Linked DNA regions of Alligator mississippiensis. The protein of the gene in region 1 purifies or fractionates together with the protein of each later gene. This does not show direct contact. Links are inferred from orthologs where the notes say so. Each region holds a gene or a part of one and is shown in the gene's direction. Other genes may lie near its edges. The genes, in order: PRDX5, PARK7 and PRDX1.

Region 1 (7,903 bases):
TCTCACCCCCCACCCGCAGCCCACCCCCCACAGTGGTGCCCCGTGCTCCTGGCCCAAGGGGGTCTCTCACGGGTGGGAACAGGGCATCTTCTGGGCCCCAAGAACCCTCCCTGGTGCCCCTTACTCCTGAGTCACAGCTCCTGCTGGGGGTCTTCTGTGGGTGGGAGTGGGGGATCCTCCATCCTCTCTAATCAGCCCCCCCTTCCCCAGGCAGCATTGAGTACAGCTGCCCGGCCAGCAGCGCCTGCGAGATCACCAAGCGGCGCCGCAAGGCCTGTCAGGCCTGTCGCTTCACCAAGTGCCTGCGCGTTGGCATGCTCCGGGAAGGTAGGGGCTGCGGGATGGGGGTGAGGGGCACCGGCAGGGGTGGTGGGTCAGGTGTGGGGGGCTGGGGGAGCAGGAGCTGTGGCTCCCCCAGTGAGGACACTGGCAGCTCCAGTGCGGGGGTCCAGGCCACCGCCTGACCCCCTTGTTCTCCCCCCAGGAGTGCGGCTGGACCGGGTCCGGGGGGGGCGGCAGAAATACAAGCGCTGTTCAGAAGCTGACGGGACCCCCTACCTCAGTCCTCCTGCCCCCCCTGTCATCATGGCAGCCAGCAAGAAGTCCAGTGAGTGTGCACGGGTCTGGGGGGGGCTGCAGGTTGGGAGTGAGGGGTACCAGCAGGGCTGGGGGGGTAGGGGTCAGCGGTCACCCTGACCCCTCTTGCCCCCCCCCAGCCCCGCTTCCCACTCTGGTGTCCCACCTGCTGGCGGCTGAGCCCGAGCCCCTCCTGGCCATGCCTGACCCAGCACTGCCTGAGGGGCCCCCACGCGTGGCCACGGCCCTGTGCGACCTGGCAGATCGCGAGATCGTGGTCATCATCAGCTGGGCCAAGAACATCCCCGGTGAGACCTGACCCCTGCCCCCCTCCCCTGCCCCTCACTCCCAACCCGCACCATCCCCTAATGCTGCCCCCCATGCCCTCCAGGCTTTGCAGGGCTCTCCCTCCCAGACCAGATGAGTCTGCTGCAGGCAGCCTGGCTGGAGGTGCTGGTACTGGGTGTGGCCTGGCGCTCGTTGCCCGGGGGAGCTGGGCCCGACCCTCCCCCGCTGGTCTTCGCCCAGGACCTGGCGCTGGATGGGGCGGGGGCACGGGCGGCCGGGTTGGCCGAGTTGGGCGCTGCCCTGGCCCAGCTGTTGGCACGGTACCGGGCCCTGAGGCTGCAGCGTGAGGAATTCGTCTTGCTCAAGGCCCTGGCGCTGGCTAATGCTGGTGAGTTGTGGGGGACAAGGGGCTGCAGGTCAGGAGTGAGGGGCGCCACAGGCACGGGCCGTGGGTTAGGAATGAGGGGCACTGGCAGAGCTGGGAGGTGCTTGCAGAGCACCCCTGGGGCATGGGGACTGTGGGTCAGGAACGAGGGGGCACCGTGGGGCTGCAGGGGAACAGGCCCCCTGACTTCTGCCCTCTGTGCACAGACTCGGTGCACCTGGAAGATGGGGCGGGCGTGCAGCGGCTGCGGGACGGGCTGCTGGAAGCATTGGCGGCACTGGGGGGGGCGGGCCGTGCCGGGCGCTTGCTGCTGACGCTGCCCCTGCTGCGGCAGACAGCTGCCCGGGCCCTGCGGCACCTGCAGCGGCTGCAGCTTGGTGCCCGTGGTCCCCCCCACAAGCTCTTTCTTGAGATGCTGGAAGCCATGATGGACTGATGGATGGGGCCAGGCAGACCCACGTGCCCTTCCCCTCCTCCTCAGGGACCCCCAATGGATCTGGGGGCAGACAGATGGGACAGATGGGGGGGGGCAGGGGGGTGTGGCCAGACACACAGACAGCCCCACGGAGGCAGATGGACTGGACAGACGGGGATTGGGGTGGGGGGGTGAGGCGCACAGATCCATTGGACAGGAGCTGGACATTCAGATGGATTGAAGGCCAGACACGGATGCGCAGGGGTAGGGGTGATGGACGGACAGACTGGGGTGGAAAGTGGGGGATAGTGGATGGACACACGGGCAACTGGGTGGGAGCAGAGGCAAGACAGTTGGACTGGACCAGACCAGGGTGCACAGACAGACTGGACTGACAGAGGGATCCGGGGGCAAGACAGAAAGACAGCCTTAGGGCTGACCCATGGCCAGGCCACCCATCCCAGGTGGAGGCAGATGTGGGTGCATGGTCCACGGGTCCTTGTGTCCCTGGGGGGCTGGACAGAAGGACAGATTCTGTTGGGGGCAGGGCTGGGAAGCCAAGTCCCAAACCCCTGGAAGCCATAGACCCCTGATTCCCCCCCCCCCCACCAGTTCAGGGGGGCCTGAAGGGAGCTCAGCACTGGATGGGGGTCCCCCTCCTTAAAGCAATAAGTAGCCCTGGGCACTGTTGGCAGGGGGGAGATAGGGCTGATCTCCCCTGGGGACCCCAGGACTGCCCCCCTATCCCCAGCTTGGGGAGGGTCTCAGGGACCCCCCCCCCCAAAGCAATAACCCTTCTGTACATAGCAATAGCCCCATCTGGGCTGAGGGGGTCATCCCCATGTCCCCTCCCACCAGGGCTTGGGGGTGGGGCCTGGGTTAATTTATGGAGATGTACATATGCTAAATACCTCGGGGGCGGTGGCGGGCTCCCCCCCCCCCCGCCCCAATAAAGCGTGGAGATCTCGGACACCCCTGGTCGCTGTGTCTTCATTGGGGGGGCTCCGGGTTGGAAGTGGAGGCAGGGACAGTACATCACAGCTCTCCACTTCAACCCAACCGAGCTTTATTGATGCAAACAGACATAGTCCAGCCCAACCCCCACACAAACCCACCCCGTCCTGCCCCCCCTTGCCCCCGCCCCAGTCCTTCAGGTCTCCTCCTCAGCCAGCAGCATGTTAGGGATCCCCTTGGTGATGGGGAACTCGTGCCCCGAGTCTGGGCAGCGCAGGATGCCTTCCACCACCTCCACCTGTGGGTAAGGGAGAGGTCAGGCAGGGCTGGAGTCTTCCCAGGCAGGAGACCAGCTTCCCCCCCCCCCCCCCCTCGGCATCCACAGCAGTCTGGGGGAGATGGGTTACATGTGTGGGGGAAGGATTTCGGGGTGACACCCCTGGTGTTGGCGGGGGTTACCCCTGTTCCCGCAGCAAGCTGAGGAGGGGGATCTGGGAGGGGCTGTCAACCCCAGGGGTAAGGGGGAGGCAGGGTGCTCAGGCACCCCTGGGGGAGGGGGTGTCTGGGGGAGTCTAGCGGTCTGTAGGGGGTGGGGGAGGGTATAGGGGCCCATGGGGGGGCCCTGTGTGTGGGGTGCAGGAGGGGGCATTAGGAGTCCATGGGGGTGCTCAGGGGTTTCCAAGTGTCCCTGTGACAGTCTGTGGTGGTGGGGGAGAGGGCACGGGAAGTCAGGGGAGGGTGCTGAGGGCCGTGGTGCCATAGAGGTGGTGTGGGGGCCCATGGGTGGTCTGGGGCAGCTTAGGGACCAGTGGGGGATGTCTTGGGGGTTTCCAGGGTCCATGCGAGAGTCTGCATGGGGTGGGCAAATGGGGGCACCTATGTGCGGGGAAGGGTGGCGGGGGCATCGGGGACCTCACCTCCAGCAGGACGTGGTGCAGACGCCGCAGGAAGTCCTCGTCGCTCTCGTAGCCGGGGGCGGGCTCGGGGGGCAGGTCAGAGCCATGCCCCAGCTGGGGGGAGAGGGGGGAGGAGTCACCCGCAGGGGGAGGGGCCAGCCCTGAGTAACCACGCCCACCCCACTGCCCTATGTCCCCTTCATTGCCTGGTCCCAGCCCCTCCCACCTTAAGCCCCGCCCCTCACTCACGCTCTGGGCCGCCTGCAGCAGCGCCGCCCACTGCACCTTGGGCACCATCCGCGCCACGAACTGCGCGTTGAAGTCCACGGGGCTCAGCTTCACTTCCGTGGCCTAAAAGGGGACGGGGTCATTCGGGCTGGGGGCGGCAATAGGCCATGCGGGGGCGGGGCCTTGACACGAGGGAGGGGCTTGGGGATCCCCATGGGCGCCTGGGGGGCGGGGCTACGGGGGCGTACACTTCGCGGGAAGTGCCCCCGCGCAGAAGAGGACGGGGCCGGCCACGTGTGGGGCGGGGGCGGGGGCGGGGCACGTGGGGGTAGTGCTAGATCACGGGAGGCCTCGCAGTGAGCACGTGGGGGCGGGGCTACGGGGGTCCAGGTGGAGGGAAGGAGCGTCCGTGGCCACGTGGGAGGCGGGAAGGGGCGGGTGACGGCACCTGGATGCCCAGCGGGTAGCCGCCGCCGGGCCGCAAGCCGCGCACGTGCGACGTTAGCAGGTTGTGCGTCAGGAGCTTCATCCTCCCGCAGCGCCGCCGACTCCGCTCCCGCCGGAAGCCGGGTGACTGCCGGTCCAGGCGTCTTGTGTGTCCGTTAGACACCACTTCCGGCCGTGGTGTGCTATTCGGGAGGGTCCGGCTGGGAAACCCAAATCCCAAGAAAGAAGCTTCCGGCACGCTCTGGTTCCGGCGTCTTCCCGTTAGAGTAGGCGAATACTCTAGCGGGGCGGGGGGGAGGGAGAGATATGCAAACGATATGTAAATCGTATGCAAATTAATCAAAACGTGTGTGGGCGGGTTGAAAGTCCACCCCTCCCGCCCTTTGCACCATATGCAAATGAGATGCAAACCAGCCGTGGTGAAATATCGTCCCCTCATTTCCTCACGCGCGAGCCAGTTATATCAATCAGCTGTGATTGAAACCCTCCTCCCTGCCCCCCCGCCGCGTGCCGATCAGCTGTGATTGAGTAGCCCCTCGCATGCAAATGAGATGCAAATCAGCCGCGACTGGCTGCGCCTTGACCGGGGGGGTGGGGGGCGTGAAGTGATCTCTCTCCGTGGGAGTTGTCACTCAGGGCGTTGTCATGGCAGCGGGGGGCGGGGGGTTGCCGCAGGCGGGGCCCCCCCCAGGCCCAGGCCCAGGTCCAGGTCCGGCCCAAACTGACCGGCTGGAGGAGCGCGAGGAGCTGCCATGGCGCCCATCCAGGTGAGGGCAGCCGGGCCCCCTGTTCCGTGCATGGCCCCCCGGTGCAGCCCCCTCCCTCCCCCGGGTCCCTGGAGTTGGGGGGGCAAGATGGTGGGTGGGGGGGGTCAGTGACCGACCCCCCCCAGGTCCTGCGGCATCCAGGGGCGAGGGGGGGCTGGGCACAACCAGGCGGGGTCTGGTCAGGCCATGGGGGAAGGGGGGGCATAGATGGGGTGGGGGGCTATGGGGGGATCTGGGGTCTTTTGAGGCCCCACAGCTGCACAGAGTGGAGGTCGGAGGCATGTGGGCACTGGAGGGTCTCCTGGCATGGGAGCTGGAGGGGGGGAAGGGATGTGGAGGGGGGCCCTGGGGCACAGACTGTGCTGGGGGCAGGGCTCTGTCTCTGTGTGGGGGGGGGGTGTTCCTGGCAATGCTGGGCAGGGCGGGGCGGGGCGGGGGCGTTGTGCAATTCACTGGGAAACTCCAGGGAGCGGCTGAGGTGCTGCCCGGTGCGGGGGGCGGGGGGGGATGTGACTGCTTCCCCTTGGCAGCCCCAGCCCCCCCTGATTCCCATAGTGGATTTCAGAGCTGTTGGGGGGGGGTCCTGGCTGTGCTGGGACCCCCCCATACCTCCCCCTTCCCCCCCAGGTAGGAGACCGCCTGCCCAGCGTGGAGGTGTTCGAGGGGGACCCTGACACCAAGGTGAACCTGGCCACGCTCTTCCAGGGCAAGAAGGGTGTCCTCTTTGGGGTGCCCGGCGCCTTCACCCCTGGCTGCAGCAAGGTCAGAGCCCCACTGGACCCCCCACAGCGCTGATCTGCCCTAGTCCCCCTCTACAGCCTTGGTTACTCCCCCATACCCCCCAACACCCCCCAGACCCCACCCAATACCTTCCTGGTCCCTCTTAGGTTCCCCCATGCCCTTCCCTGCCCCCCGCAGCTCCCTCTATTTTCCACTGCCCCCTGGAAATCCCCTGTAACGTCCTTTGCTCCCCCCACCCACCAACACACCAAGTCAAGCTTGCAAAGTGTTGTGGGGGCTGGGATAGGCTTCCCCTTATATCCCTGGGCCCCGTGGGGTCAGGACTGGGGCTGGTGGGCACTGTCTCTGGGGGGTCCCTGATGCCCCCATGTGTGCCCCCCCACCCCAGACACACTTGCCAGGGTTTGTGGCAGAGGCCAAGGAGCTGCAGGGCCGAGGCGTGGACCTGGTCGCCTGCCTGGCCGTCAACGATGTCTTTGTGGTCAGCGAGTGGGGCAAAGCTCTTGGCACCCAGGGCAAGGTGAGGGGGCCTCAGGGGATGATGGAGGGCTGAGGGGGGGGGCAGCATTAGGGGTGGGCGGTGTTTTGGAGGTGAGGGAACTGAGGCAGGGGTGGGGGTGGCCTTGGAGGGGAGGGGGGTTGGAGTCCGTGGGGTGAGGAGGGCATGGGGGGCAGGATGGGGGGTTGTGTGGAGCAGGGACGGGGCAGCTGACTGGGGGCTGGGGCAGGGGAGTGTGGTGGTGGCAAGCCAGTGGCAGGGGCAGAGAGAGGATTTTTCCCTGCCCTTGCCCAATTCCACTGCCCCTCCCACCCCTGCCTGGGGCAGTTGACTCAACTTCCTGGGCCACCCCCATTCTTGGCAGCCCTGGTTTGCGTAACAAGGGGTTGTGTAACCATGTGGGGACTGTTTCTGCCCCCACCACACTAATCCTCTTTCCCCTCCCCCCCCAGGTGCGGATGCTGGCTGACCCCACCGGGGCCTTTGGGAAGGTAAGGGGGGTGTGGGTTGGAGTGAGGTGCACTGGCAGAGTTGGGGGTGGCAGGGGAGCAGAGGGCTGCAGGTCAGGAATGAGGGGTACTGGCTGAGCGGGGTTGGCAGGGGCTGTGGGCCAGGAGTAAGGGACACCGGCAGGGGGCTGTGGTGTGGGAGTGAGAGGCACCTGGGAGGGGGGCATCAGGCCAGGATTGGGTTCCTCCCTTCCCCTGCTGAGCCCCCCTCTTTCCTGCTCCCAGGCCACTGACCTGCTGTTGAACCAGGACCCGCTGCGCCAGCTTTTTGGGAATGACCGCCTCAAAAGGTGAGGTGCCCCCAAAACAAGTCCCCCTTATACATGTGCCTGCAGCCCCCCTTCCCAGCATGCAGCATGGCCGCTGGTGGCAGCTGGGAAGGGGGGTGATAGGAGAACACAGGGTGGGACCCCAAGGTCTGTAGGGTCCCCTTAACTGCTTTGGGGTCCCCAAGTTTTGAGGGTCCTTGTGGGGGGTTCCCAATAGCAGGGGGGGATAAGGGGGTTGTTGAAGGTTTAGGGGATCTTTGGGAGGTGGGGGTGCTTTGGGGGGTTGGGGAAGGGTCTGGGGAACCCCCCTCAGCCCTGACCCCCGATATCCCCATAGATTCTCGATGGTGGTGGAAGACGGGGTGGTGAAAGTCCTCAACGTGGAAGCCGACGGCACCGGACTCACCTGCAGCCTGGCTAGCAACCTCCTCTCCCAGCTGTGAGGGACCAGGCGTCTGGGCCCCCCACCCCATACTCCCAGTTTTGACCCAAGAGCCCCATTGAGACAAGGGGTAGGGGCACATCTTGCTGCTGCAGCTCCTGATTTGGGCCTGTAGGGGGTGCACAGGCTCCACCCCCAAGCTCTGGCCCCGCCCCTGCTGCTGAGGCCCCGCCTCCTGCACCCCCACTTTGCTGGAATAAATGGCTCTGTTCAGCTCAACCTGTGTGTGCATGATTGGGGGCCGTGCCCCGAGATGGGGGTATAGGGCTGTGGTGGGGTAGGGGGCTCTGGATTGCCCCAAGCTGGGCTCAGGGGGTACCAGGTGCTGTCCAGACCCCCCAGGCCAGGATCAAGGGCGTGCTGTCCAGGCACCCCAGGCTGGAATGGGGTGGGGGGAGTGCTGGGCACTGTCCAGACCTCCCCCAGGTTGGGATTGGATCAGTCAGAGGTAGGGTTGAGGGTGGAAACGGGTCCCATGGTGGTGGGG
Region 2 (7,667 bases), on another chromosome or scaffold:
TTTAGGATTTTGAAAAAGGAGGTGCAGATGGTGAGGTGCATCTTCACATAAGAAGCAACACATTTTTCTTCTGTTAAAATAAACTGGAAAGTGTGGAAAACTGGAAATAATCTGGAAACAGTGCTGGGGCCCAGGACCGTATGAAGCAAAAACATGTACAACTTCTTTGGAATGACTTAACAATCTGTAGGGCGGTGAAATAGGAGCTTCAGGAGCAGGTAACACAGCAGGGTTGCTTAAACAAAGGATAGCTTTAAAAAGAAGACAAGTTAACACCTGTGGCATGAACAGTTTAGGGGGGATCCCATAAAATCAATAGATTACAATGGGCCATGGAGTGAGCTGACTTCCTTAGCACAGCCTGACAGGAAATGCTGCTGCCACTATCGAACAGTTGGTTTTAAACTTCGAGTGGAATTACAAAAAAAAAGGAAAAAAAGTGTGTGTGTGGGGGGGGGGGAGCAGGAAGGAGGTTCTGCAAGTGCACCAGTGTACACCTTCTGGATCTGTCCCTGATCAGGACTACAAATTAACAGTCCCTAACCCTATTTTAAACTTGCCACCCCTAGGGCTTCGTTTTCCTGCGCAGAAAAGGGCACGCACGTCAGAGGCGGGCTCTGGTTAAGTCAGCGCTGATCGAAATGTCGGAGTGACATTCTGTGGGCCCCAGCATGGCCCTCACGCCGCAGTGACGCCACTAGGGCAGGGCACCTCGCTACAGGCCCGCCCGATGCCGCGAGCAGGGCGTAACGGCACGGCCACGTGCCACCTTCACAGACCCAACGGCCTGCCCCGGTCCCCAGCCCAGATCAGGCCCCTGCCCTTCACCAGCATCGGAGAGCCGGAGCAGCAACACCCACAGCAGACCCACGCAGGGGGTGGGCGGAGCCTTCCCGCACCGCCATTGGCTCTGCGTGCCGTGGGCGGAGTCTAGCGGCCCCAGACGTCTCTCTCCGCCTCCGGGCCTCGGAGGTGGCGTTGGGGAAGCACGTCAGAGTGGGCGTTTCGCCTCTGCGAGCCTCCCCCGCCGCTTCCAGGGGCGCTGCGCTGCGTTGTAACGCTTGGCGGGGGCCTACCCTGTGCCACTCGCTGCCTCCCCCCGCGAGCCCGTGCTGAGCCGTCAGCAAGGAGACGCGTGGGCGGACTGTGAGCAGCGGACAGAGAACCAGCAGCTCCGCGCTTGGCAGCAGTGCGGCCGGGCCGGGGCCTGCGCGCCCGAGTGAGACCCCTGCGTGGGCGGCGCGGATAGAGCGCAGCTCTGCCCCGCAGAACAAGGCGCCGGGGGAGGGAGCGGGCCGTGGGGACGGCGCCCTGCAGGCCTAGAGCAGGGCGCGGCGGGCTCCGGGCCGGGCGGGGACGACCCCGCATGAGTTGTCGCGCGGAGGAGGGGGCAGCTGCGCTGCGGGCGTGCTGTGCAGCGCCGCCCACGGACGGCCCTGCCGGGGACTCGCAGCTCGGGCGGGCCTGGAGGCGAGGCGGTGGCGGGAGGGCGGGCTGGGATCCGGTCGCGTAGATGCAGGCGCCGAGCCCGCGGGGCGCTGGCCGGTGGCTCCGGGTTTGCCACCTCCCGCTCCGCACCAGCTGCGGACCGAGAGGCGCCGGCCCGCGCAGCACCGCGGGGGCCTCGTGGCGCCCTCTCCCCGCACTGCCTGGCGAGGGAAGGGCACGACCCGCAGTGCCCCGAGGGGCGCGAGTCCGGCCCACGCCGCGCCCTTCCTGCCGAGCTGCGGGCCGAGGGTCTCCCAGCGGCCGCTGAGCCGTCTTCAGGCGGGACAGCTCCCGCGTTACCCGAGCTCCGCGCCGGCCGTGGTCTTAGCAGGCCGGGCAGCCGCGGGCCAACAGCAGCTCGCGGCCGCTCAGGAGGGGAGGGAGGTGCTCACGCACACGGGCCTGGCCCGGGCAGCAGCCACGCTTGTCCGCGGTAGGGTCGGCTGGGGCGGGCGGCATAACGGGCGCGGGCTGGGGGGCCGCGGCTGTCGGGAGCCGACCTGGTGCGGGGCGCCCCTGACCCGCAGCTGGCGCCGCTACCCCCAGGCCGCCGTTGCTGCTGCCGGGGGGTGGGAGCGCTCCAGCCTGAGGAAAGGAAGCCGCGCAGACTGCTTGGGCCGGGGCCTCTCTGGCTGCAGCTACTGGGGTCGACCCGTCAGTCGCCGCGGGGCGGGGCGGTGGGCGGTCGCTACAGCTCCCTCAGGCTCTGGCCGTGTTAGGTGTCCGACGCTGCCCGGAGAGTCACGGCCCTGCTGCTCAGAGGCTGCTTTAAAAAAATGCTACGGGTCTGGGAGCCTTGGTGAAACCTTTGACAGGAAAGGCTGTCAGTGTCTGTCCAGAGGAGGCACCCGGGGCTCTGCCCTGAGTCCCAGATTGTTTGATATCCTCACTAATGGTTTGGAGGATGGGATCCATGCACGAAGGTGACGTTAAGCTGGGTGGAGCTATGGGTGCTCTTCAGAGCAGGACTAGGATCCAGGGTGACCAGGACAGACTAGAGAAATGTCCTGCAATCAGCTATATGAGAATTGACAAAAAGTGTGAAGTCCTGCACCTGGGATGGAATAACTGCATGCAGAAATATATGCTGGGAAATGGCTGGCTGGGCTGCAGTGCTTTAGAGAAGGAGTTGGGGGTTATAGTAGAGCATGCTCTTTTTTTTTTTGCCGCGAAAAAAAAACCCAACAGCATAGGGGTCTGTTATCAACAGAAGCATCACTTGCAAGTCAAGGGAAGTGATTCTTTTGCTCTATTCAGCACTAATGAGTCCTCACTGGGAGTAGTGTCCAGTTTTGGGCCCCACACTTCACAAAGGATGTGGACTGATTGGAAAGTCCAGCACAGGGCAGCAGAAATGATTAGAGGCCTGGAAAGCACTACTTATGGGGAAAGGCTGAAAGAGCTAGAGTTATGTAGTCTGTAGGGGGGGGGGTGGGGGAGGATTTGATACCAGTCAAATTCCTGAAGGGACAGGATTAGGGGGACAACATTGATAAACTACAGTAGAAGAAATTTAGGTTGGTGATTAGGAAAAACTTTCTGACTACTAGGGTTGCCAAACATTGGAAAAGGCTACCTGGGAAAGTTTGGGAATCTTCATCTCTGGAAATTTTCAGGAGCAGGTTGGACAGATGTTTGCCTGGGATGGTTTAATCAGGGATGATCCTGCCTTGAGCCCTCATGAGGTCTCTTCTAGCACTCCTTTTCCATGATTCGACTGATGTAAGGTGTATCTTTAAAATTAACAGTTTATTGCACAGTAATTTCAGTCCAAGGTAGAGTAGAAGAGGCAGTTCTTCTGGCTGGGAATGAACACACAGGAAAAAAAATAGCTTGCTTCCTACTGATTTTTTTTGCCAATGCAGAGCAGAAAGAGAGCAAAGAAGAGTGTATCAAAATCAAGTTGAAGGAATCCTATTCCCCTGAATTCCTGCAGCAAGGTGACTAATTTTATGTCACATTTGATAAAGCGCCCCCCCCCCCCCCCCCAAATTATATGCATGTTGGGATGGAAATTCCCTCTACTGGAAAAAAACCCAACCTCCTGCTAAGAGGTTGTGCAAGTTATGAAATGAGTCCATGTGCATTGGTCATCATTGTTGCCACCTTGTGATTTTGTGTGTGTGTGTGTGTGTGTGTGTGTGATTATCAGAAACTTGATAATCACACACACACAAAATGTTACTAAATACTTTTACTACATGCATGTGAGGTGTAAGGTAGGTGCAAGACCAACTGCTCTCCAGAATCTAGCCATCCACTTAGGAGCCTGTTTTTTGTGAAAAATCTTACCCCCAGTTTGTTCTGTTCAGTCACTTTAGGGAAGATATGCACCTTCCCCTCCCCCATTAGATTGGGGAAATACCAGAAAATCTATTAATCAAACATTTGGTGACACTATTGGTCATGACAACTCACAGGAAACTCCTGCAGACTACTGTCAGGAAATGAAGCTTCAAATATGAGCTGAACACCCAATTAAACCCACTTAACAGTGTAACTAACCTCGGGTGGGAGTCATCATCAGTCTCTCTCTGTGGGTGAGCAGTCTGATAACCAACCTAATGTCTATTTTAAACACTAATGCTGGTAAATGGCTGTCATGTAAAATTGTGTTTAGTCCAAGATTCTCTTCCCAGCTCTGCACTGGTGTCCTGCCATGCAAGCTATTTAACTCCTTGGTGTCTCAACTTTCCTTTATAAAATCAGATTATAGTTGCCTAATTAAACACTGTTCTGAATCTTCACTAAATCTTCTAAACTGTGCTGATATGGGGCTTATCTGAAAAATGAGACAGAGATGCCATACTTTATTACCCTGTGATGCACTTTGGTTGTGCTGTCTCATTCGAATAAACTGTAAGGATGATCTGACCCAAGTACTCTGTTAGGAAGTTCCCTCATTTTGTTTCCAGCACAGCAGTCCAGAGCCTCCCTTTACACTTCCTGTGGTACAGCATGGGCAGAGGAACTGGTGCATGTTGTATGGTGATGTCTGAGTTTAGGATAAATCTATCTGGGCAGTTCAATTTCTAATGGTCTCTCCTTTGTCTTGCCTAAGCAGAGTATTGGTCCTTGTATGCTGGAGGCTTCAGTGCAGCACTGGGACATTGTGGAAAGTAGAGCATCTTAGTGCCAACAAAACATGTCTGCAAAAAGAGCCTTAGTAATTCTGGCTAAAGGAGCAGAGGAGATGGAAACTGTTATCCCCACTGATCTTATGAGAAGGGCTGGAGTGAGTATGCCAACCACTACAATCCCTTGAGGTCCCTCTGAAATCAAAGCTGTTCTTTTGAATCAGTCTTCAAGCAGCCCGTGCACTGTTCCTTATTTTCTTTACCTGTGAGGTACCATGCATGTCTAGGGTATTTTGACCAGTATCAGAGAGTGAAAAAGAAGGAACTGAGTAATGCGCTATATACAGTTAGGGCAAACATCCAGAAGATCATGAGCAAAGCCTGCCAGTGGATGATGAATCCTTTAACAGATTTACTTAGTCTGATTCTTCTGGAATGTAAAAGGCTCTGGGTTGAAATGGTCCCTGACTAGGGTTGTTCAAATGATGAGTTATTGAATATATCTGTTAGACCTTCCAGACTACGAAACTCAATATCACCACAGATGTTTCTCCCTGACTGTTGCTTTTATAGGAGGGAGACTTTTGGAGTGAGTTTGTCTTCACAGCTCCACTTTCACTTGGTTTAAATGACCTCTTAACTAAAAGATACTTGTGAATACTATGTAACTGACCCCTGCAACTTTCCAAAGCAGGCAATTTTCCTGAGTCCTAATGCTGTCTGTACTTCTGATAGATCAAGGTCACAGTTGCAGGCCTAACAGGAAAAGAGCCAGTGCAGTGCAGCCGAGATGTCTTTGTTTGTCCTGACACCAGTTTGGAAGACGCCAGAAAAGAGGTTTGTCCTGTTGATTTGGCATGTTGCTTAACACTGGCCTTTTGTGGTTCACAACAGACTTAGAATTATATTTATTTTCCTTCATTAATGTTCTGTTAACTCACTCCTTGCAGCAGCAGCATCACATGCTCAAAGATACATTCTGCAATTTTCATAGAAATCTGTCTGGCTAGCATTTTTTTTCTTTATTCAAGAAAATACTAAAGTTTTGCACAACTTGTCACACTCCATCCAGACACTTTAAATATTTTACAAAATCAACTCAGACTTTATTTTAAGGTGTTACCCAGACACTGAAAAAATAGGGTGACTTGTATAAACAGAGAGCCCTTGCTTAGGAAGGAAGCGCAGTAACAGGGCTGTGTCGGGAGCTTTTGCAGCACAGCTCTTGTGATCACACTGAAGCACTGACATTCACACTCTAGGGTACTGAGCTCACCCACACTCAGACTTCTTGTTGGCAGAGGTTGCTTTGGAACAAGTGTCTCTAACACTCTGGTGGGAAAGGAGACAATAAGGCACTCCATTAAGTAAATATTTTGGAAGTTCCCCAGAAATTAGGATTTATCTGTTACTTATTACAGTATATTCTCACCACTATGAAGGTAGGTCTTCTCCATGAACAATCTTGATAACACACTAACAGAATGGTGTTTCTTTAGGGGCCTTATGATGTGGTGGTCCTACCAGGAGGTAATCTAGGAGCTCAGAACTTGTCAGAGGTAAAAGACTTCTCTTCAGCAATACCAAGGCCTACCCATCTGATGGAATGCTCTTAATTCTTTCAGTGATGCTTCTTTTTAGCTTCTACTTCTGCAAATTTAGTTAAATATTTTAGAGCAGTGGTGCCCAACATTTTTGGCAGGTGGGCTGGATCCAGCTGGTGGTCCCGATCCGGCTCCTGGGGCAGGAGTAGCAGACCCCATCTGACTAGGCAGAAGGGTCGGGGGCAGGCCAGCAGTAACCTGGCCCTGCAAGGAAAAGGAGCCAGACCTAGTCCCATGGGGGTAGGGGGAGGAATGGGGCATGGCTCAGCCCCAATCTGGCCCTGCAGGGGAAGTGAGCACAGCTCAGCTCCAACCTGGCACTGTGGAGGAGGAAAGGAGGCATGGCTGGGCCCCAAACAGGCCCTGCAGGGGGGAAAGGCGGTGTGGCTCAGCCCCTAATTCAGAAGTGGGAGGGAGGGGGTGTGGACCAGTCCAAGGGTGGGGGGCACCTTTTGGGTTTGGGAATTTGGTAGGAGGGAGGGTGGCTACATTGATGACCACTTGTCCTCTGCCAATTTTCTGGACCTTTGTAAGCTAATCAACTGTTAAGCAGCCTGGCCCTAATTACTCTGAAAATAAGGAGGTGCTTTCGATTCTTAAGGTGTGGAGATGCAATAATTGGTAAACAAAGATTTAATGCAACAAAGTGTAAAGTAGATTGAAGCCATAAGCACTTGAATTAAACCAGATGTCCATTCAATTTGCTATGCTTTCTCTGACAGTGCCTAATACTAGATTCGTTGGGGGTAAAGTCTAAGAAACTTGTCTCCTGTTTGGCTTTTTTAATCTTACCGTGGCCTCAATAGGTTTAGATATTGGTTTCAGCCATCAAATAGGAGGTAAATAAATATCCCTTCTAATTGTTACCTCTTGTTGCTTTTGAAGGTTCTACATTTACAATTTCTTTTAAAATCTGTTTGTTCTATGTTATAAAACAGAAGGACTGAAGTTCCTGTTTTAGTTCTCATTTCTTGATTTATATTTTTACAGTAGAAAATGTATCTTGACTTGTCATGTTAAAATAAATCATTATGTAAAGTGATACGGTTTCTTTTATGCAGTCCTCTGCTGTTAAAGACATCCTGAAGGACCAGGAGATGAGGAAAGGCTTGATTGCTGCCATTTGTGCAGGTGACGAAATATCTTGCATTGTATTAAAGTGTTGTCTGGACAGGTGCCTCTTACAAATCTCTGTTACTCAACTACTTAGTAATAAAAGAAATTCAAATGCCCACTGATCTAGCAGAAACAAGCAGCTCTGTAAACCACTGCGACACTAATCTTGCAAGGTGTCAGTGTTTTTTACATCTGTGCTGGTCTCTTCAAAATTTAAGCTGCTCTAAAATACAGGGTGTAAATGTAATGTGCTAGGAGGTTCTATAAAGTATTTGCTTATCATAGCATTATCTCTGCCAGGACACATTCTGCTGGCAGGACATAGTCACGATAGCTTTCTTGGGTATAATATAAACATGGGCCTCTTGCCCTTTAGCTTCAG
Region 3 (7,677 bases), on another chromosome or scaffold:
ACTATTTCTTTTCTTTGTCTCTTATTTCACAGGCCGGGGGTTTCAATGATTCAGATTTCTAAACGACTAGGAAAGAGCTAAAAAATATTTTCAGGGGCATAACAAACTGCTCCCAGCTACTTTTAAAGACGTTTCAAACACAATCACACAGATTCAACTTAAATTAAGGGCAATAATATTTGTGTGAATTCTCCAGAAAAGTCTTTCTTCTGCTCCATTGACCCTGATCACATTAACAATATTTCTGCAAAGGGGAGGGCAAGAAATCCATAGGTTGGAGTCACTGGATTCCACAAAAAGTGCAATGTCAGGTACTTTGCTGTTGGGGTATTGTTTGCACGAGGAACTAGTGTACTGAGAGAACAAAGGCATATTTGTTCAACACACATCCTCAGGTATGCATTTCCTTATTTATACAATGAAGCTGAAAGGAAGGCTAACCTGACTGATATGTATGCAAATTTGAACTGTGGAGGTATGATCCTCCAAGGCAGCATTTGAATGGATCTTAAGAGAGCAGCATGTGGCGTTGTGTGTGTGTGTGAAATACCCCCATGCTTACTGCATTCCTGTCGCTACAGATGGCCAGGACTGAAGATCACACACAGCTGTAATTTTCTTCTCTAGATGTCCACATTTACAACTAAGTTACAAACTTTGAGGATTTGGAAAGCAGGTGGATTTAAAGATGAAATGCCAACAAATTCCTCACTGTACCAGGCCTGGAAGTGCGTGGTGGGGTCGTTCCACCCGTTTCTTTCTTCGTTGCAAATTGATGCAAACCTAGTAGAGTCTCAAGGTTAACCCCACTGGCTACTCATATAGGAGCACTTTTCCATGGAGCTTCCTATAGCTACAGGACTGAAAAAGCAGCAGCAAGATAGTGCAAAGGAAAAAAAAGAATGGAAAGAAAAGATAAAATAATGTTGAGGGCAGGGGAGGAAAGAGTGAAGTGGAAGAAAAGGAGATAAGCAAAGTGCCTGTCCTCCTGGAAACAGTAACTATGGACAGTTATTGCCAAGAAAATTGCTATTGGACACTATAGTATAGTATAGTATAGTATAGTATAGTATAGTATAGTATAGTATAGTACAGTAGAGGATACTTGAACATGTCAAAATAAATAAAAAATGTGACAATTAGAACACTATTCAATATGGAACAAAAAGGAAATAATTATATCCTTTTTTGTCAGAAGACGGCACATTTTTGTCATCAAAAGACTGTCATGACCCATACGATGATGATAAAAACGTAACATTGAGAGCGCATGGATAAAGAAAAGGAAAGGCCGTATGTTTTGATCTGAAAACACGACGATCACTTCAATTAAAGAAGGAAAAGCAAATGTGTGTTCAAAACCCGTGATTTCACCTGTTTTTACACTGAATTCCAGAGCTTCTACTTCTCATTCACAAAGCCCATCTTAGTAGGCCTAAATGGCTCAATTCGCTCTTGAGCGCATCAATTGAATAGGCACATCTACAGGCCTGAGAACCGTACAGCTTGGAAGACTTTCACCAGCAGAGCCCTGAGATGTCTATAGCCAAGCCAGGATTTTGCTCTTCTTTAACAAATAATTGGACCCTTAGATTTAAACGTGATGTCTTTGGGAAAGGGACTGTATCTTTGTATCTCTGTACTACCTGGTACAAAAGGCCCATTCCTGACTAGGGACTCTGGTAGCTAAAACCACTAAATAATAATTGGGATCCCTAGCAATAACTTTTGGGCTTAATTTTGTGTGTATTGGTGTAAAGCCCACAGATTCCTATTCTTCTCAATCACAGCGGTACCAGCCATCTCCTCCGTGCCAGCAAGTAAGCTCACTCTGCTGCCTCAAGGAGCTCAGAACAGGCTTCAGCTTGTCGTAGCAATGACATGCCCCCACCTAACAGTGAGGTAACCAGATCGCTGGAGAAGCACGCTCCTTTATCTGGAAATAGCAGCCACTGACAATGCAGCACTGGTTCCTTACCCAAAAACAAGCAAACCGCAAACCCCCGAAGCAGATGATGAAGAGACCGGCTTAGAAGGAAACGACAGAATACCACACACAACCTGAGGACACAGAGGTGTGAACGGAAAGGCAACGCTCAGAGCAAACGAGGGCAAATTGCACTGTGGCAGCTCCACACAAATGAGTAGACCCCGCGCTTGGAAGTGCACAGAAGAGAAGTAGCCCGAGAAAATTGCTCCTGATTTGTGCAAGGGGGGTTGATCCATGTTAGGGTGCAGCTACACTGCTAAGAGTTGCATCGTGTGTCAGCAATTCTTTCGCCACCGTTGAGACTGCCTGGCTTGCCACGTGCTAACCTAGACACATTTCCCTGGCCTATGTTTTCAGGAGGTTTCTACTGCGCGCTGCAGCCTCCAGGATCCTAAAGCACTTCAGAGGCGGCGTGCAAGCGAGTGCATTTTGTTTTTAACATTTAGAAAAATAAACTCAGTACCAAAAGACAGTCCTCGCTAAAACCGATCGGAACGAGTGTTCATCGGTGCACAAGAACACCACGCAACAGCGAGAATCGTAGCGGCTCACGCAGGCAGACGGCAGTGTTGCCAGACATACATATTGTATTTGTACACCACGTTCAACTCCTGCATGACAGATAATCATGAAAGAGGCCGAAATGTGCAATAATTCAGGGCAGATGCTCACCGTTTAAAGAAAATACTAACTTTCAAACAATTTTCCTTCTTCAGACAACCGTCTTTGTCCAGTCCCTCATACGCAGAGACTCAGGGGCACGTTATACACATGGCCGTGCCCAGGGTTCGATTTACAGGGGAGTTTGGGGGAAGGAGGGCTGAGCCCCCCATAAAAGACAAGACCCCCCCCCCCGGTAAGATTTTAAAATCAAAACTTGGGGAGTCTTCAGTTTTATTAGGGCATCATAATGGGCAGCCCAATTTTTTTTGCAGACCCCCCCAGAGTCAAAGTATAATTTGAACCCTGGCTGTGCCCCTATGGCTGTCAGTAAAATGACCAAAATATTTGCTATTTACAGATAAATGAGTCTGAATCTTAATGGTAAGGACTACAGAAATCCTTTGGCTGTGCAGGTTCTGAAATATTTGCAATATACGGCAATTTGGAGGTTCCAGTACAATCTACTTTTATCGTCTTCCAATATTGATTGACGTTTAAAAATGATGCCTTTTGATGGCTTCCTTTACGTGGCAAAATATTAATGTTTTAATACATGGTAAGTAAATGGCAGTGCAGCCCAGAAATAAACAGGCATTGCCAACTCCCATTAAAGCCAGTCTTACAACTGCTGAGATTGCCTCCAAGTATTTTCTCGCTCCACTCAATGCTGTGCCTAAACCGCACCACAAAAAAAGACCTTTGCATAACTCTCATGAAAGTTTCAGAAGTTGGATCATTAGTCCCGACAGCTCCTCCGTGTCCTATAAAGCAGCCAAAGTATTTCAATATTCTCTGCTAGGCAGCCAAGTCAAAGCTCAGAGATCGCCTTCATTGTTTAATTTTAACCCTGCATCACATGACTCGCCTTGCGCCGACCGCTGGAGCCGAATTCGTGAGAGCAGAGGCAAGAAACAGAGTACGGCTTACGTTTGCCTTCTAACGTTGCTAGCAGGGTGAAAGGGTTTTGCTCGTATACATGTGTGCACGTGTATAAATGTATGCATATATTTTGATATAGTCATGTATAAAAATAGATGTAGGCAGACAAGGTTATTTGGGTAAATGTGATATCTTTTATGAGACGGAGAACCTTGTCTGCCTATGTTCCTAGACCAACGCGGCTACTGCCAACACCCCCTCGACATGGTAATCCAGACTGTGCAAACATACATGTTTGGTAAAACATAGTGAATAAAGGAATAAATACATAAAAGATAGATAGATAGATAGATAGATAGATAGATAGATAGATAGATAGATAGATAGCCAACACCCCCAAACCATGGTAACATACATATATGGTATACATATATTACCATGGTTTGGGGGTGTTGGTAAATATATACATATTTAGTAAAACACGGTAAGTGTATATAACCATGTTTTGGGGGTGTTGGTGGGTAGATACACATACTTACACACACACATATACAACACATACACACATAATACACACACGTACACATACATGCACACACATGTACACACAATTCACATGCACACACACAATACATGCACACACGTACACACACGTGCACACACATAATTGACACGCATACACAATACACACACACATATATAATAATGCACATATATCACACACACGATACACACACATATGTACACACAATACATGCACGCACACATCTATATGCACACACAATGCAGACACGCATGCACGCACATCTATATGTACACACACAATACATATATGAACCATGAAACTGTATGCACACGCGATTCACACACGTATCACACGAGCGCACACACGCCCGGCCGGGGGCGCGGCGGGGTGTCCCGCTGCAGAGTGATGGGCGGGGCGAGGCGGGGCGGGGGCACGGCGCGTGGGAAGGGCAGGACCCGCCCCGCCCCGCCTCGCCCCGCGCCGCTCGCGAGAGCCGGGCGATATAAAGACGGAGCCCTCCCCGCTCCGCCCCGCTGCCTGCTGCGCTCCGTGCTGCGACGTACCGCTCCGCACTGCATCGTTCCGTGCTGCGCCGCACTGCATCGCTCCGCTCCGTTCGTCTGTCCGCCCGCCGGTGAGTGCAGCCCCGCTGCGGGCGGTGCTGATCCGGGCAGCTCTGCGTTTGTCTCCTGTGCAAAGCCGGGCCTTTAACAACGGGGGAAAAGGCCCGGCTTCGCGTGCGGGCCGCGATGCTTTGCCTCCAGCCTGACCCAGCCCCCCCTTCCCTCCCTCCCTCCCTGGTCCTGGGGCCCCGGCCCGGAGAAGAGCATCCCGCTCCTGCAGCGAGGAGACGAGCGCGGGGGAAGGGGGGCATCCCCACGGCCTCTCCTCTCCTCCCTGCGCCGGAGAACGGGCTGCAGAGAGGCGGGCGTGTGGGCTGGATGTTGGGAAACCTTTCTCCCGAAGAAGGCAGCGAGTCTGCTGGGAGAGTCTTCACGCTCACACTTGTATGCCAGGAGGTACATTGTTGTTGGGGCCGTCGCACTAAATGACCGCCCGGAGAGATGGCGGCATCTCCGTCCCGGGAGTTTAAGACCTAAAGCCCTGGCTGGGATGACGCAGCTGGGGATGGCCCTGCTTGTGAGCAGCGGGGTGGGCTAGATGTGACCTCCCTTCCAGTCCTCCTTGCCTTACGATTTTGCAAGGCTTGGCGCTCACGACACTGGTTTCCAGGCCGGGCAAACTGTTAGCCCAGGTGATGTTTAATCCTAACACTTCAGCCCGGGGCTCTGGCAGGGATGGAGCTGAACGTGTGGAAGAAGCAGCCCGGTTGCAGGGTGGGGTTGGCAGCTGGCAGGCCCGCTGGCTCTGGAGGACGGTGGGCACATGCCTTCCTGGGGGTTATGAAATGCCCTTCGTTCTTTGGTGAAGTTGTGGCCGTGCCGTGGGACCCACCTAGTCACCTGGGGTTAAATGATGGTTGAGAAACCTCTTGTCTAATTAAGAGATTTGCTGGATGGGGGGAGGATTAAACTGAACTACTGGAGTTGCAGCTTTTAAAGAACTGGCAGAACTAGAGACCGTGCCCATCTGCACTTTTTGTTTTTTTAAGTACTGCAAGAGGAAGTATAACTAAAAAAATCCTGAGATGTCTGCACACCCATCTGGTCAGGAAATGCTGTGGTTTTACCTGTTTGTTTTTAAAAATAATTTTAATATGGGAAGGTGGTGGATGTTATGGAGCAAGCAAATGTAGTGGGGAATGGTAACCAAGTTTCCTCGTTACAGTCTCAAGTGCGGCAGTTCCTAACGCCCAGTATAAAATCTTCCGCTTTCCTGGAGGAATATGTTAATGAAGTTTTTAGATTTTGCTTGTCTCTGAAATTAAGAGGCCTGGAGTCTTTGCTCTTAAATCCACGCAGAGCTGTATCCCTGGATACAAAACCTGCTTCTAGGCTGTTGTGTGTGGAGGCCCAACCATTGAACCTCTTGACCGGGTGGTTCAGCCTCTTCGAAGGCAATTATTTACCCAGGCCAAAATAAGTATGAAATACTTCTGAAATAAAAGGAAGACACTTTTAAAGAATTAAAACTTCCAGTTTTCCTTGGACTAAGAAAAGTTCTCTATTCTTACACACAAGTTTCTCTTTACCCTTAGTTTTGCCTCATTGATAATGCATTTGATAGGTTTCTTACTATGGCTCTGCAATGACATTAAACAGTTTGGTGAAGCTGGTACGCGCTTACCAGGATAGCACATGTTCATACTTGGATATTTTAGAGCAGGATGCCTTTGCTGCATTGCATAGTAGTGTCAAGTCTCTGCTTTTGCTAACATCCCATGGAAGTTGGTATCCCTCAAACTGGACTAGCTAATGTAAGACTTGCTCTTCCTAAGCCTAGCAAGTGTTATTTATGTGCTTCAAATCAATAGGACAATGGAGCCAGCGGTCAAGGTCTTGAACTGCTTATCAGGAAACGTGGAACAGAGAAACTTCCTTGTGACGCAGCGTGCGGATAGGATCAGGGTCCGTTATGCTGACACGGTGAATGTGGGAATTGCACTGTTGTTGGTGGAAGAGCAGATGGCTAGCTCTTTCTGCTCGTGCACTTGTGTTAGGACTCCAGATAACTTGCACCCCGCCGAAGTTCAAACACTAATGTTTCTGTGCCCTCGATAGGGAAGACTTCCCCCGAGACTACTTGAGTGAAGGGGGAATGCATGACTTGCTTTCACAAGCATCTCTGTATAGCTGCGTGGGCTGCACTTCTTCCGTGCTTCTGTACAAAGTATGAAATAAAGGAAACTGGAGGGAGCAGTTTGCTACTTGTCATGTCGGCTGAGCCTTTTGATGTCCAAGCTTTTTCTTTAAGAAAAGCTGTAGCAAACTAAACCACCAGTATTTTGTGCTTAGTAGGAACTGCTAAGAGATGACCAAAATCATGACTCTGACTCCCTTTAGACACTTAAGGGGAAGATGTGTCCAAGTTATGTTTGTGTCTCCATTTTAGCTCCTATCAAGATGTCTTCAGGGAACGCATTTATAGGGAAACCAGCTCCTGACTTCCAGGCTACAGCTGTAATGCCGGATGGGCAGTTCAAAGACATCAGGCTTTCTGACTATAAAGGTAAATTTGTAATTGTGATTGGGAGTGGGGATAAGGATGGCTCTTCTGCTTGGCTTAAATCTGTTTTAAATGCATTTCTGAAAACAAAGCTGCCTGTGATCCTTGAGACATTGAACTAGTTCAGTGGTTCTCGCCCCTCTTTTGTACTGGGACCCACATTTGATGCCCAGTCCCCAGTGTGTGGGGCAGGGGGGACCCCAGGCAGCCTCTCGCAGGCTGGAGCTCTGCCAATCTGCAAGGGAAAATGCAGTTTCCCATGTTGTTTTTCCATGTTAAATGGCTTCTCCTTTTGAAGTTTGTTCATGACCCTTTCATATTCTTGCAACCCACGTGTGGGTTGTGACCCCCGGGTTGAGAAACGGTGCCTTAGTTGAGGCACTCATGCTGTGAACAGTTCCAAGTGCAGACTGAAGCACGCTTCTGACACGGGAGCAGGCAAAGCCAACATCTCATTGCAGCAAATCTCATTAACCTCAAACGTTAATGAGCA

Evidence for each region.
Region 2: the proteins of PRDX5 (region 1) and PARK7 fractionate together in Homo sapiens (co-fractionation; 3 studies listed by BioGRID). This does not show direct contact. The link is inferred for Alligator mississippiensis from reciprocal best matches to the Homo sapiens genes PRDX5 and PARK7.
Region 3: the proteins of PRDX5 (region 1) and PRDX1 fractionate together in Homo sapiens (co-fractionation; 3 studies listed by BioGRID). This does not show direct contact. The link is inferred for Alligator mississippiensis from reciprocal best matches to the Homo sapiens genes PRDX5 and PRDX1.

What each region holds. Positions count from the first base shown.
Region 1 is NC_081838.1:4,439,798-4,447,700, forward strand, and holds PRDX5 (peroxiredoxin-5, mitochondrial), read left to right. Parts: upstream 1-4,848; 5' UTR 4,849-4,941; coding exon 4,942-4,956; intron 4,957-5,583; coding exon 5,584-5,718; intron 5,719-6,085; coding exon 6,086-6,217; intron 6,218-6,648; coding exon 6,649-6,687; intron 6,688-6,930; coding exon 6,931-6,995; intron 6,996-7,311; coding exon 7,312-7,417; 3' UTR 7,418-7,635; downstream 7,636-7,903. Other genes in the region: ESRRA (steroid hormone receptor ERR1), read left to right, coding at 211-327, 485-607, 717-884, 968-1,252, 1,456-1,685; TRMT112 (multifunctional methyltransferase subunit TRM112-like protein), read right to left, coding at 2,815-2,916, 3,536-3,628, 3,764-3,865, 4,191-4,271. UniProt on the Homo sapiens protein: Thiol-specific peroxidase that catalyzes the reduction of hydrogen peroxide and organic hydroperoxides to water and alcohols, respectively.
Region 2 is NC_081836.1:20,167,795-20,175,461, forward strand, and holds the start of PARK7 (Parkinson disease protein 7), read left to right. Parts: upstream 1-4,628; 5' UTR 4,629-4,633; coding exon 4,634-4,723; intron 4,724-5,300; coding exon 5,301-5,402; intron 5,403-5,572; exon of another isoform or gene 5,573-5,897; intron 5,898-6,064; coding exon 6,065-6,124; intron 6,125-7,230; coding exon 7,231-7,300; intron 7,301-7,667. UniProt on the Homo sapiens protein: Multifunctional protein with controversial molecular function which plays an important role in cell protection against oxidative stress and cell death acting as oxidative stress sensor and redox-sensitive chaperone and protease.
Region 3 is NC_081828.1:2,605,218-2,612,894, reverse strand, and holds the start of PRDX1 (peroxiredoxin-1), read left to right. Parts: upstream 1-4,582; 5' UTR 4,583-4,692; intron 4,693-7,070; 5' UTR 7,071-7,081; coding exon 7,082-7,187; intron 7,188-7,677. UniProt on the Homo sapiens protein: Thiol-specific peroxidase that catalyzes the reduction of hydrogen peroxide and organic hydroperoxides to water and alcohols, respectively.